2 linked regions of the Cricetulus griseus genome follow. The protein of the gene in region 1 interacts with the protein of each later gene in a pairwise test. Links are inferred from orthologs where the notes say so. Each region holds a gene or a part of one and is shown on either strand. Other genes may lie near its edges.

Region 1 (5,561 bases):
CTTTGATAGCATTATATGAGGCTTTTCAAAAGATTTATTTCATTTTAAACTCTATATACATGAGGGGAGGGTATGTGGATGTAAATGCAGGTCCCAGAAGGAGGCATCGGATACCCCCCCCCCCCCCCGGAGTTACAGGTGGTTGTGAGCCTCCTGTGGGCGCTGGGAACCAAATCCAGGTCCTCTGGGAGATCAGTACCTACTTAATTAACCTCGGAGAAGTCTCTGTAGCCCCAATATTATTATTTAGTTTTTAGGCTTTTTGTTTCTTTTAAATGCTTTGCAAAAGTTTGTGTTTTTTCCCACTGTTGTTTGTTTTTGCATAGCCACCGTGTTATTTTCAACAGTGCCATAGAAAATGTTATCACAGTTTGCTGTGACTGCCTATAACTCACCTGTGGGACAAGTTGTTATCCACTTCCTCATCCCTGCCATTTGCCCTTTGGGCTGTTTCCCCACATTTTCAAGGTCTTTATGGGGAGACCCACCTGTATCTGTGATTGGGTCCTCAAGGAAGTGCCTAGCACACAGTGAGCAGTTGTCATGCTGTTGCTGGTCCACTCGGCTGGACTGCTCCCCACCACCACCATCGCTGTGTGACACCTACAGGGACACTGTCAGGTTCAGGCTCTGGAATGGTTGTGCTCTCTGCCAGGAGGCCAAAGAGAGCAGGAAATGGTTTCTTTGGCAATGTCAGCATGATGACCCCAGGCCTGGCCCACGGGAGTGAATTTTAACAAGCACAGTTCCCAGAACAGAACCTGCAGAGCAAAAGAAAAGCAAATAAGCAAGCAAAAAATAAATAAAGAAAGAAAAGAAAACCCTGTTGGAAAATACACACAGAGATTAAAATAATGTTTGGCACTTACATCACACTTTTAAAATTCTTCAAACGCTTTAGAAACACTGGCTAATTAATTAAGCTGCCTAAATCTGCTTGCAGTTGGGTGAGATCTCCAGAGGAGCTAAAAAAGGAGGGGGGCAAAGGGGAGGAGCCAGCCCTCCCCAGCCCAGATTTTATTGTCACCTGCCCGGGGTGTGATTACAAGCCTCTGGCTGCACCACAAGAATAGCCCTGCTCCAACTTGTCAGCTCCCAATTCCCAAGTTCCTCCTGAGCGTAGCTCCTTCGTCAGCCGCTGACTCACAGCTCTGTGTTCAGTTGAGGATGGGGATAATGATAACAGAGCACCAGCTCCGGGTCACCAGGGTTAGCTCTGCTCAACTGATGATGGAAGAGGCCCGGGGTTGTGCCAGGGTCACAGAGCAAATAAAACCCGTACTTTCTCAGCTCATCAGTGTGTTGTTTCAGCATAGACGTGTTTTGGGTACCCAGTCTCCCTGGCTGGGCTGAAAATCACAGAGATCCACGTGCCTCTCCAGCCTGTTTCTATTGAGGACACAGTATATACCAGGCAGGAGGCTAGACAGTACTTCCTAGTAGATCTACCATCCTAATGGTGGAGAAAATAACAGTCCACAGCAAATCAGATACATAAAGAATACAGCAATGAGATGAGAGGGTTAAGAACTTGAATTAAGCCAGCAAGTATACAGCAAGAGCTTATGCATAGCTCTGGAACAATCTTCATGACAAAGCAGAGGGCAGATACCATTTCCCTGCTTATGTCTGATTGAATGGGAGTCCACTCATGAGTACCCAGCTGCCAAAGAGGGCCTGTTCTCGCCCAGGCCTGTGCTTCATGCAAGTGGTGGTTCCAGTTCAACCGGTCTCCCGTGGTTCACTGTAGACACACTGGAATGTTCATGGCTCCCTGCTATTGGCCGTAGCTGGTGATGTCATCGATGCCCTTGGGAGGCTTCCTGTCTCTTCAAGCCTGTTCCCTCCTTGTGTGAGTCACTTGCCTGTCATTGGCCTACCTTCTAGGCTGGCCAATGCTGCCTGAGCCCCTGACTTCTCTAGTTCTCATTTCTTCCCCTGGAGTGTGAGAATCAGGCTGTGCCCAGGCTGGTTCTGCAGACTCTGCTCACACCTGGCATGAAAAGTGGCCCTCAAGGGGATCCCTGGCTGGGGAAGAGGACGAGACAAGACAGTGAGCAACAGATGACAGGCCTATGCCAAGGCCCTGGGTACCTGCAGTGAGAGCAGAGCCGATCAATCCATGGAGCTCTCTTGCCTTAGGCGCTCTTGCCTTGCCAGTGCAACAATATCAGGCCATGGGCTAACATACAATGTCTCTTTTACTGGTTCAGCATAAGAGGGCCTGGTAAAAGATTCTGCTACAGCCCTGTCAAATAGACAGGTCACATTAGAAGCCAGTGGACAGTCCAGCTGAGACCAAGATCACCTGACTCACTGTTCCTGCTGTTGTCATCCTCCTCATCCTGTCTTGGGTCACCCTGTCTCTAATGTCTGTGTGTTCAAATGCTCATGTTCCACATCCACACATCCAGCAAGCCATCACTCAGGAAAGTAGTGGGGCCACTGTGCTTGGATGGCAAGGGTTTTATCCACTGAGATACCCCTCAGCCCCAAATGCTGCCTTTTAACATGCTCATTGGCCTGAACTTGTTTGTTTCTGTCAGAAGTTCATTAAGATGGGCTCATGGTAAACATTTTACAGACGAAGAAATGAAGGCTAGGGACCATAAATAGCCCAAGCTGAAGCCACACTCACACCCCTGCAGCTCTTGACAGTGGGTGAGCACCTAGGCCTTCTCTGTCGACCTACTGAGGGCCCCCAGTGATGCAGCCACATGCTACTGAGCCCCACCTAGGGCCCGAGTTCTCAGCTCTCCTACCACCAGACTGCTGAGAGCAACTGCTCTGCCAGGACTTGCTTTCAAGCACAGAATCTACCTCTTTGAAAAGCACCACACACACCAGGGTCTCCTACTTCTTCATCTCTACCAAGTTTGTTCCCTCAGTGGGGAATCCAGGCTCCCATTCTAACCGAAAATTTTAGATTTGAATTCCAGAGCCCAGCTCAGACGTGACACTTCCCCAAAGGGCTTGGACACTCTGCTACACTAAGCTGTGTGACTTAGCACTCTGTCTTAGTTTTCTTGTCTTGAGTTACAGGCCCTCATGGGGATTAAACATGATAACGCATGCAGTGTGCTGAACTCAACACCGTTGTGTGTGCTCAATCAGTGAAAATCACTGATGGACTTGCAGGATCCCTTAAGGTGAGTCATAGCTGCCATCTGTCTTTTCAGGAGCCACAACCAAGGACCTGAAGGTGATTCAGCCTGAGAAGTCAGTGTCTGTTGCTGCTGGGGATCAGGCCACGCTGAACTGCACTGTGACCTTGCTGTTGCCTGTGGGACCCATTAAGTGGTTCAGAGGAACAGGGCAAAGCCGACATCTAATCTACAGTTTCACAGGAGAAAAGTTTCCTCGAATTACAAATGTAACAGATACTACCAAGAGAAACAACTTGGACTTTTCCATCCAAATCAGCAACGTCACCCCAGCAGATGCCGGCACCTACTACTGTGTGAAGTTCCTTAAAGCAGAAGCTGACAAGGAACTTCGGTCTGGAGGGGGAACAGTGCTCAATGTGCTTGGTGAGTAAGCCTGTGCCTTCTTCATCCCCTGGTGTGTAGCATCATGTCAGAGGAGAGCATCCCCTATCCCGTGAGTGTGGCTCATAGCAGGTGCAGTGGAGAGCGTGGTCATCATCTGACCTCAACCTCCGGCAGATTAGGGTAGCCAAAGCCAGTTGTTTGCTCCAGGCTCCAGTGCCAGCAAGTAAGAGGACATCTGCACCCTCATCCACCTGCCCCACGGCCCTCTCTTTTCCTTGCACATGGGTCACGCTACCAGTGAGTGCCAGAGTGTAGACCAGAATGCAGATCCCAGCCAGGCTCCTTGCTGCCCAGGCACTAAGCATCTCCATAGATGAGCCAAGAACACGGAGGTGCTGAGGAAATGCTGAGCCTTGAGGAGATGCTGAGCCTTGAGGAAATGCATCACTTTCACAGAGATTCGGATGCCCCTTCCCTTTAAAACCTGAGGTCTGTTAGTGACAGGAAAACCTCTGCCAAATGTCGTCCAGGTCCTTACTCCATATCAGGACACTAAGGGCCATTGTGTAAATGGCTGCATTTTACTCCAGCACCTAGATATTCCACAACTTATTGTAGTCTTCTGTTGGTAGACAGTTCCGTTCTTCCCAGCTGTGGAGTTTGAAAACAGTGCTGCCCTGGATGGCTCAGCCCACATGTCTAGGGCAGAGATACCCATTGCAAGAAGCCTACTATATCACATAATGTGTTCCTTTTAATTTATGTGGATGGTACCAGTTTTCCCTCCAGGTAGCAGCCAACTCTCCTCGCCATCCACCCCTGCACAGAAGCAGGGCAGGTAGCTTGTCCTGACTTTGTAAGTATGACAGAGAGCCCTAGATGGGGTGCCAGGGTCATTACTGAGTATCAGAAGTACAGTGGCCATGAGGACAGGGGACAGAGTCTAACTGTCTGGAGCCATATTCCAGATAAGCCACTCCCTTGCCTTTGTCCTGGACAAGCCTCTCCACACATCACATTGGTGGCCTCATCTGTCCATGACACTCTCACCGAGTGTGTGGTCAGGACTGAAGCAGTGACATCATATCAAACACATAGAACAGTGTCTGGCTTGTAGAAAATATCCCATCAGTGGGAAATGTGTTGAGCTGTATCCATGTGACCTTGGGTGGGCCACTTGCCTTTCCCAGGCCTCAAGTGTTGGTGGGGTTGTGATGAGTTGGTGGCTTTCCATCTGTCTGCTTGCATGACTCATCTATGAAACTTAAAAAAAAAACCCACATATCTCATATCTACCCTAGAAATTCTGCTGTAATTGGCTTGACATGGATCTGAAGTGTGTGTGTGGTGTGTGTGTGTGTGTGTGTGTGTGTGTGTGTGTGTGTGTGTGTGTGTGGTGTGTGTGTGTGTGTGTGTGTGTGTGTGTGTGTGTGTGTGTGTGTGTGTGTGTGTGGTCACACCTACCTGTGTATGAGCAGAGGACTGAGGAGAATGTGTAGTGTCCTATTATATTACTCCCTGCCTTACTCCCTTGTGACTGGGTCTCTCATTGATCCTGGAGCTAGGTTGGAGGCCAGCAGACCCCAGTGATCCTTTTATATCCTCACCGCTCCCACAGCACTGGGGTATAGGCACAACCATCATGTTCAGCCTTCTTTTATTAAAAAAATATTTTTTCACTTTACATACCAACCCAAGTTTCCCCTCCCTCTCCTTCTCCTGCCCCACTTCCAACCTCCCCGACCATCCACTCCTCAGAGGGATAAGACCATCCTGGGGAGTCAAGAAAGTCTGCCATGTCAAGTTGAGGCAGATGTCCAGCCTTTTTAAAACATGATTCTAAGGATTTGAACTCAGGTCCTCATACTTGCTCAGCAAGTGTCTTACCTTCACATCCATCTCAACTGCTTGCATCTGAAGTTTCTCACCACAGCCAGGCTGCGATACATGTCTTGAAACCACAGGAGAGATGCTATGACTTTTCTTTTTCCCCTGGCTAAGCTGTTCCCCCATGAAGCCAATGCTCAGAAAGCTTTATTCCTCAGCATTGCTCTCTGGGGCCCATGATGA
Region 2 (6,144 bases), on another chromosome or scaffold:
GAGGCAGAGGCAGGCAGATATCTGTGAGTTCAGGTCAGTCCTGTCTACAGAATGAGCTCCAGGACAGCCAGAGCTGTTACATGGAGAAACCCTGTCTCCAAAAACCAAATAAATAAATAATTAATAGAAATAAAGGAAAAGGGTAGCTAGGCTGGAGACATAACTTAGTGGTCGAGTCAGTGCCTAACATGCTCAAGGCCTAAATGCAAACTCATATGGAACACATAACCTTTACTAGCCAGGTGAGGGTGGCACACGCCTTTAATCCCAGCACCTGGGAGGCAGAGGCAGGAGGATCTCTGAGTTCAAAGCCAGCCTGGTCTACAAATCCAGTTCCAGGACAGCCAGGACTGTTACACAGAGAAACCCTGTCTCAAAAAAACAAAAACAAAAACAAACAAACAAACAAAACCAAAAAACTCTTTACTAATATTTACACTTCTATAGGAAAGGAACATCTCCCAAGATCTTAGGTAGGAAGCAAAGGCAAATCAAGGTAACCTCTTAGGAGCATGGTGACATCCCCCGGCTGTAATGCCAGCACTATGGAGGAGGTGGTGGCAGCAGGGTCAAGAGTTCAAGGTCATACTTAGCTAGTAAAGTTTGTGGATGGCCTAAACTACACAAGATCAAACAACAGCACAGATACCCGGTTAGCACCCAGGAGTTTGAGACAAGAGATTGCTGTGAGTTTGAGGCCAGCCAGGGTTACATAACAAGTCGTCTCACTCCCACAAAAGTTTTTAAAAAAAGGAAAAAAAAATCCCCCCTACTAGGGAGAGGATTGAAGAAAAGTATTGTCTCTTAGCATATTCTAGTTGTTGGAACAATTTAAATCTGATGATTCAAGTTCCTTAGGAACTAATAGGAGGTGGGTATTATAGACCAATAGCAGTTCTTTGTGCACAGGGGAACTCTGGGCCTGGATAGGGGTAACCGGAGCCCAGAGAGTCTGCTGCCCCCAATGCTGCTTCGACCTCCCCCTGAAACTGTGGAACCCATAGCACCCATGGATGTAAGTATCTTTGCCTGGGGCAGGACATGAAATACATGAAGTTGAGCAGTCTGTGCAGCCTTTAAAGGCACCACTTACCAGAGCTCTTCCCAGGTTCTGGGCCCTAGCCTGCAAGGACGAGAATGGACCCTGATGGATTTGGACATGGAGCTGTCTCTGGTAAGAAAGGAGTGGCTGAAGGTTGGTTTGGTTCATGGCTGAAGGATTGCCCCGGTGATTCCTCAGCTCTCTTCCTCAACTTCTGGGCCCCCTTCTCAGCGGCTTCCTGGGGTTCTCTCATGCAGATGCAGCCCTTGGCTCAAGAGAGGGTTGAGGCTGAGCTGACAGTCAAGGAGTTGAATTCTTCAGGTGTAGGTAATGGTGATGGGGACCCCTGGGCAGAAGCCACCATGATCTGAATTACCATGATTGGGTGGGCTGGGCAGCTTAGGTGGGGTAAGGATGAGCCTGAATTCAGGCTGCCTTGTAGAGTCGCCTAGAGTCACCCATACTGCCATCATTGTGTGAGAGTGGTAGTGTCAAGAATGACGTTTTAAACTAGATATGGTAGAGCGTGCTTATAATCCCAGGACTTGAGAGTCTGAGACAGGACGACCATGAGCTCAAGGCCAGTCTGGGCTATGCAGCAAGACAGTAAGACCGGGCCTTTAAAGCGTGTATGTGTGTGGATAATGTTACATCCTAACTGAAGGAGGGCTCTCCTAAGCCCAGCCTACTCCTCCTAGGAAAAGACCACACGCTGGGAACTCCACTGCTGCTGGACATTCCCGCAGATTTGGAGGGTGCAGCCCTGCCAGTGCCTGGGGCTTTAACCCTTTACAATGCCCCTGAAAGCAGTGCCTCCTACTTGGACCCTGGAGCCAATCCCTCTTCCCCTTGAGGCTTCCACCTCTCTTAAAAGCCTGACAAAGGACCCAGCACGCAGCAGCACACCCCTTCAGGCTTCTCGGCGTCCCCTCCCGGGGCGGGGGGGGGGGGATGGATAAGCGAAGCCCCATTATGCGGCAGCCTCTCTCCACTACCCCAGTGAATTCTACAACATAAACTGCATTCCCCCACTCTGTTTCTGGTCTCTCTTTTTTTCTATCAACCAAAGATCATTAGAGTCATGGGTGGGCGACGACTTTGCGTTCATACAAGTGTCCAGATGTTTGGATCCAGAAACGTCCAGACGCTCGGACTTTCATGGAAACCCCTACCTGGAGAATGGTGGTACTTGGGAGAGGCTAACTCTCCCACTTGCACTGAGATGCCAGCCACTGTAACCTCCAGGAAGCAGGCGTTTCCGCGCCACATCCAACTCCTCTATATACGTGTCTCAGACTCTGGACAAGTCAGTTCCCTTCTATAAACTTATCTGTGACAGGCGGAGGGAGAGGTCGTAGGAGGGCAAATTAAAAGCACCTAGCAATTAGAAGGCCCAGAATGGGCTGGACCCGTGGTACTGTGAGCTGAGCTGACCCCCTGACTCAAATCCGGGTGCTCTGGGGCCGGGGAAGAGAACGGACTATGCGTCCCCCTGCCAGAGCGTGGCCTCTTCTGGCGTCCGAGTTCGCCGAAGCAGAGAAGCACACCCCTCCCCCTCCCCATTCCCGGCAGCCCTGGCCGCCCCGCCCCCTTTGCAGCTGCCGTTCGCGTCCCCACCCTGCTTGCTCTGCCCTTTCTGCACCGTCATCTGCCCCGGTGAGGCTCAACTCCGTTGTGGGGCTGTCCGAAACGCTCCGGACCACAAGCCGGACTCCACCCAGCAGGGAGAGAAAGGAAACAGATTGGGCAGAGTACCGAGCCTCACCCCCAGCAGCGGAGCTCGAAGGTCTGTGGGCCCCGCTCTTCTTCAGGGCTTTAGAATTGAGTTGAGGGCTGGAGGGTACCCTTGCGGTTGCGCATGCGCGACCACCTCTTGCAGGTTCCACCCTGGTTCCCCAACAAATCCCAGCCAGTCAGCAAGCTGGGGGTCCCAGACCAGGCCAGGTCACCTGGGGCTCAAAGTAACATTTAGTCTTGTCCTTTGATGTACTGGCCAGGGCATAACCAGAGTTTACCCTAGAGCTGTGATAACCTCAAAGGGAGGCCCCAAATCAGCTAGGGGCTAGGCGGGTGGTGGTGGCAGCAGCCTTTAAACCCAGCACGCAGGAGGCAGAAGCAGGCGGATGTCTGAGTTCCAGGACAGCCAGGGCTACAATAGCGAAACCCTGTCTTGGAAAAAAATCAATGAGTTAAGGTCTAAAACAGCTAGGGTCTCTGCTTCTCAGACAAGACAAAAGGTAATACTTAAGTTACCGGGGAGACAGCTAACATAAAAATAACTTAAGGTACAGAGATGGGAAAAGAGAAGATCCAGCCTCAAAGTCTGGCCAGAATAGGTGAAGGCCTCACCCCCTTCCCTGTAAGTACAACCATAGCTACCTTTAAACTCTTAAGAATTGGGGTAGACATGGGAGCATTTCAGTCTTGAGGGCTAGATCCATAGAATAGAGGGGAAGAGAAGAGACTCCCAGACCTAGGGAACAGCACCAGCAAAGGCTAAGGTGCCAGGACCATAAATGTTCTTGCAGGACTGAATGGTGGATGTAAATGGCAAAGAACTGGCTGGCAAGGGTGATAGGGAGGGAATTAAAATAGCCAGACCAGGTAGCTTAGATTATTTGATGGGTAATGAGGAGGATAGGCCTGGCATTCAACTAGGCAAGAGACATTATAGTTTAAGCTAGGGTGAGTCAGATCGCAGTTGTACTGGGTTTTTCTGAGCCTGTCTCTTCACCCATAAAACTGGAACAATAAATGCTAGCCCAGAGTTGTCAAAGTCACTATGTTGGAGTGAGGGAGGGGAGGAGTAGCCGTGAGTGAGGTACTCAGAGGCCCTCATTGTTCTGGGAGACAAACTGCTGATGGGGGGCTTAAGGGGCAGGAGCTGATGCAGAGTGACTATAGGGCATATGACAGAGAAGGGGGATAGTGATGGGGGATGTCCTTCTGTATATATGTTCTTATTGGTTGATGAATAAAACAGTTTGGCCACTAGAGGCCAGAAGATAGGGGGGACTAAGAGACGAGAATTCTGGGAAACATAGGCAAAGAGAAATGCCATGTAGCCCCAGAAGGAGTAACAGGTCCATGGTCCGAACTCTTCTCCAGTAAGATAAGACCACATGGCAATACTTAGATGAATAGAAATGGGTTAATAATTAGGACAGAATTAGCCAATAAGAAGCCCTAGCCATCGGCCAATAGTTTGATAATTAATATAGCGTTCATGAGTTTATTTGGGGCTCAAGTGGCAGTGGAACCTGGGGTGGGGGACAAGAAACTCCAGCAACAGGATAGAGTGGGAGGAAATGTCCCTGGTCTGTGCTTAGTGGCCTTGGGGAAGAGCTGTCACTTAGATATGAGGGGTGGAGGGGGACCCAAGGTATAAAGTGACTGGACCAGGAACAGTATAGTGTGAGAGTCCTGAAACCTGGGAGGCATGCTGTGTGTGTGTGTGTGTGTGTGTGTGTGTGTGTGTGTGTGTGTGTTGGGGTATGGGATCCAATGGCCTAGGAAAGAAGAAGGTAGGATAGGGACATTCAGGACAGAAGAGACCTAGAAGGATGCTATATGGACAAAGCTAAGGCCAGATTTCTTTTTTCCTTAATGCTGACTGGCCACACAACCCAAGCGGGAAGTAGTCCTTAGATGATAATAGATGAGCAGAGTAGATTAATTTGCACCCATTTCCTAGTTTGGTAGAGGCAGCCTCTTAAAATGGATAATCCACAGAGGAAACTAAAAGTTTGGTAAGCATTCCTTAATGGCTTTTAAGAGCTGGGCCTTGGATGTTTCAAGGTCAAGTAAGAGATGGCTGTGTGTCACTGCCAGGCCATCAGGGAAACAGATGAGTCCCTGATGACAGGAGGTCTGTTAAAATTCAGGAGTACTCCGTTCTCCTGCTTAGATAGTAAGGAACCAGGACAAGTCACAGACCATGCTGAAGTGCAGTCTGGTGGTGAGTGAAAGGGCAAGGTTCTGGAATGCATGGACCCCGGGGTTAGGTGAATGGTGCATGCATGCCTCAGCACTTTTGGCTTTGGATGCATCTCAGATTGTATGAGAGATCAGCTGGGCTGCCCTGATCCAAGGTTTGCTGCAGGGTTCAGGAAGGAGATAGGAATTAATCCTAGGGTTTTCTGCCAGTTTAGGTAAGGAATTGAGTTTAGAAAAAATAATTCAGTTGGATAAATTGAGTCTCAACTGGTGGCCAGCTGGACAGGTGGCCAGGGCTTAGGAGGGAAGTCCTAACTAGTGAGAGCATTCAGCTAACGGGTAGAGACCAGAAGAGGAATCTAAGGAGTCAGAACAAAGGCAACCAACAGGCTGGAGGGTGAGTTCTGTGCCCCTGGCTTCCAGGTCTTCCGCTGAAGAAACATCCAGACTCTGATGTCCAGGTGAACTTAGATCCCTCCTGGGAGAGGTCAGCGTGTGGGAACGCCAGCCCCCCACACCACCCCCCATTTCTCTCCTTCTCCTTGATATAGCCCAAACATGGGCAACGTACAGGAGCGGCCATCGGAGACCATTGACCGGGAACGGAAACGGCTGGTAGATACATTACAGGCTGACTCTGGGCTGCTGCTGGATGCGCTGGTGGCCCGGGGTGTGCTCACTGGGCCTGAGTATGAAGCCTTGGATGCACTGCCTGATGCAGAGCGCAGGGTGCGCCGTCTGCTGTTGTTGGTGCAAAGCAAGGGCGAGGCAGCCTGCCAGGAGCTACTGCGCTGTGCCCAGCATACCGTGCGTGTGCCAGACCCTTCCTGGGATTGGCACCACGTGGGGCCTGGTGAGCACCAGGAGGGTGGAGCCTTGTTGAGATGGGGGTGTGACTTGGGGTGAGGCAAAACTAAGGGTAAGTGGAGGGCAGAGAATGCGGAGGCAACAAACCAGAGGGGTGAACTGAGCCTCAAGTATTCCACTTTCTCCCCCAGGCTACCGGGACCGCAGCTATGACCCTCCATGTCCAGGCCACTGGACGCCTGAGGTACCTAGTTCAGGGACCACATGTCCTGGTCTGCCCAGAGCTTCAGAGCAAGAGGAGGTCGGAGGTCCTGAGGGCTCTGAGGCAGTGCAATCTGGGACCCCAGAGGAGCCAGAAC

What was found. The genes of interacting proteins can lie anywhere in the genome.
Region 2: the proteins of Sirpa (region 1) and Nol3 interact in a two-hybrid assay, tested with the Homo sapiens proteins (2 studies listed by BioGRID and IntAct). The two-hybrid records come from large-scale screens. The link is inferred for Cricetulus griseus from reciprocal best matches to the Homo sapiens genes SIRPA and NOL3.

Annotation. Positions count from the first base shown.
Region 1 is NC_048599.1:48,989,387-48,994,947, reverse strand, and holds part of Sirpa (tyrosine-protein phosphatase non-receptor type substrate 1), read left to right. Parts: intron 1-3,179; coding exon 3,180-3,530; intron 3,531-5,561. UniProt on the Homo sapiens protein: Immunoglobulin-like cell surface receptor for CD47. Acts as docking protein and induces translocation of PTPN6, PTPN11 and other binding partners from the cytosol to the plasma membrane.
Region 2 is NC_048596.1:181,562,417-181,568,560, forward strand, and holds the start of Nol3 (nucleolar protein 3), read left to right. Parts: upstream 1-2,633; 5' UTR 2,634-2,828; intron 2,829-5,401; 5' UTR 5,402-5,431; coding exon 5,432-5,439; intron 5,440-5,529; coding exon 5,530-5,831; intron 5,832-5,976; coding exon 5,977-6,144. Other genes in the region: Hsf4 (heat shock factor protein 4), read left to right, coding at 910-1,015, 1,109-1,174, 1,300-1,369, 1,741-1,895.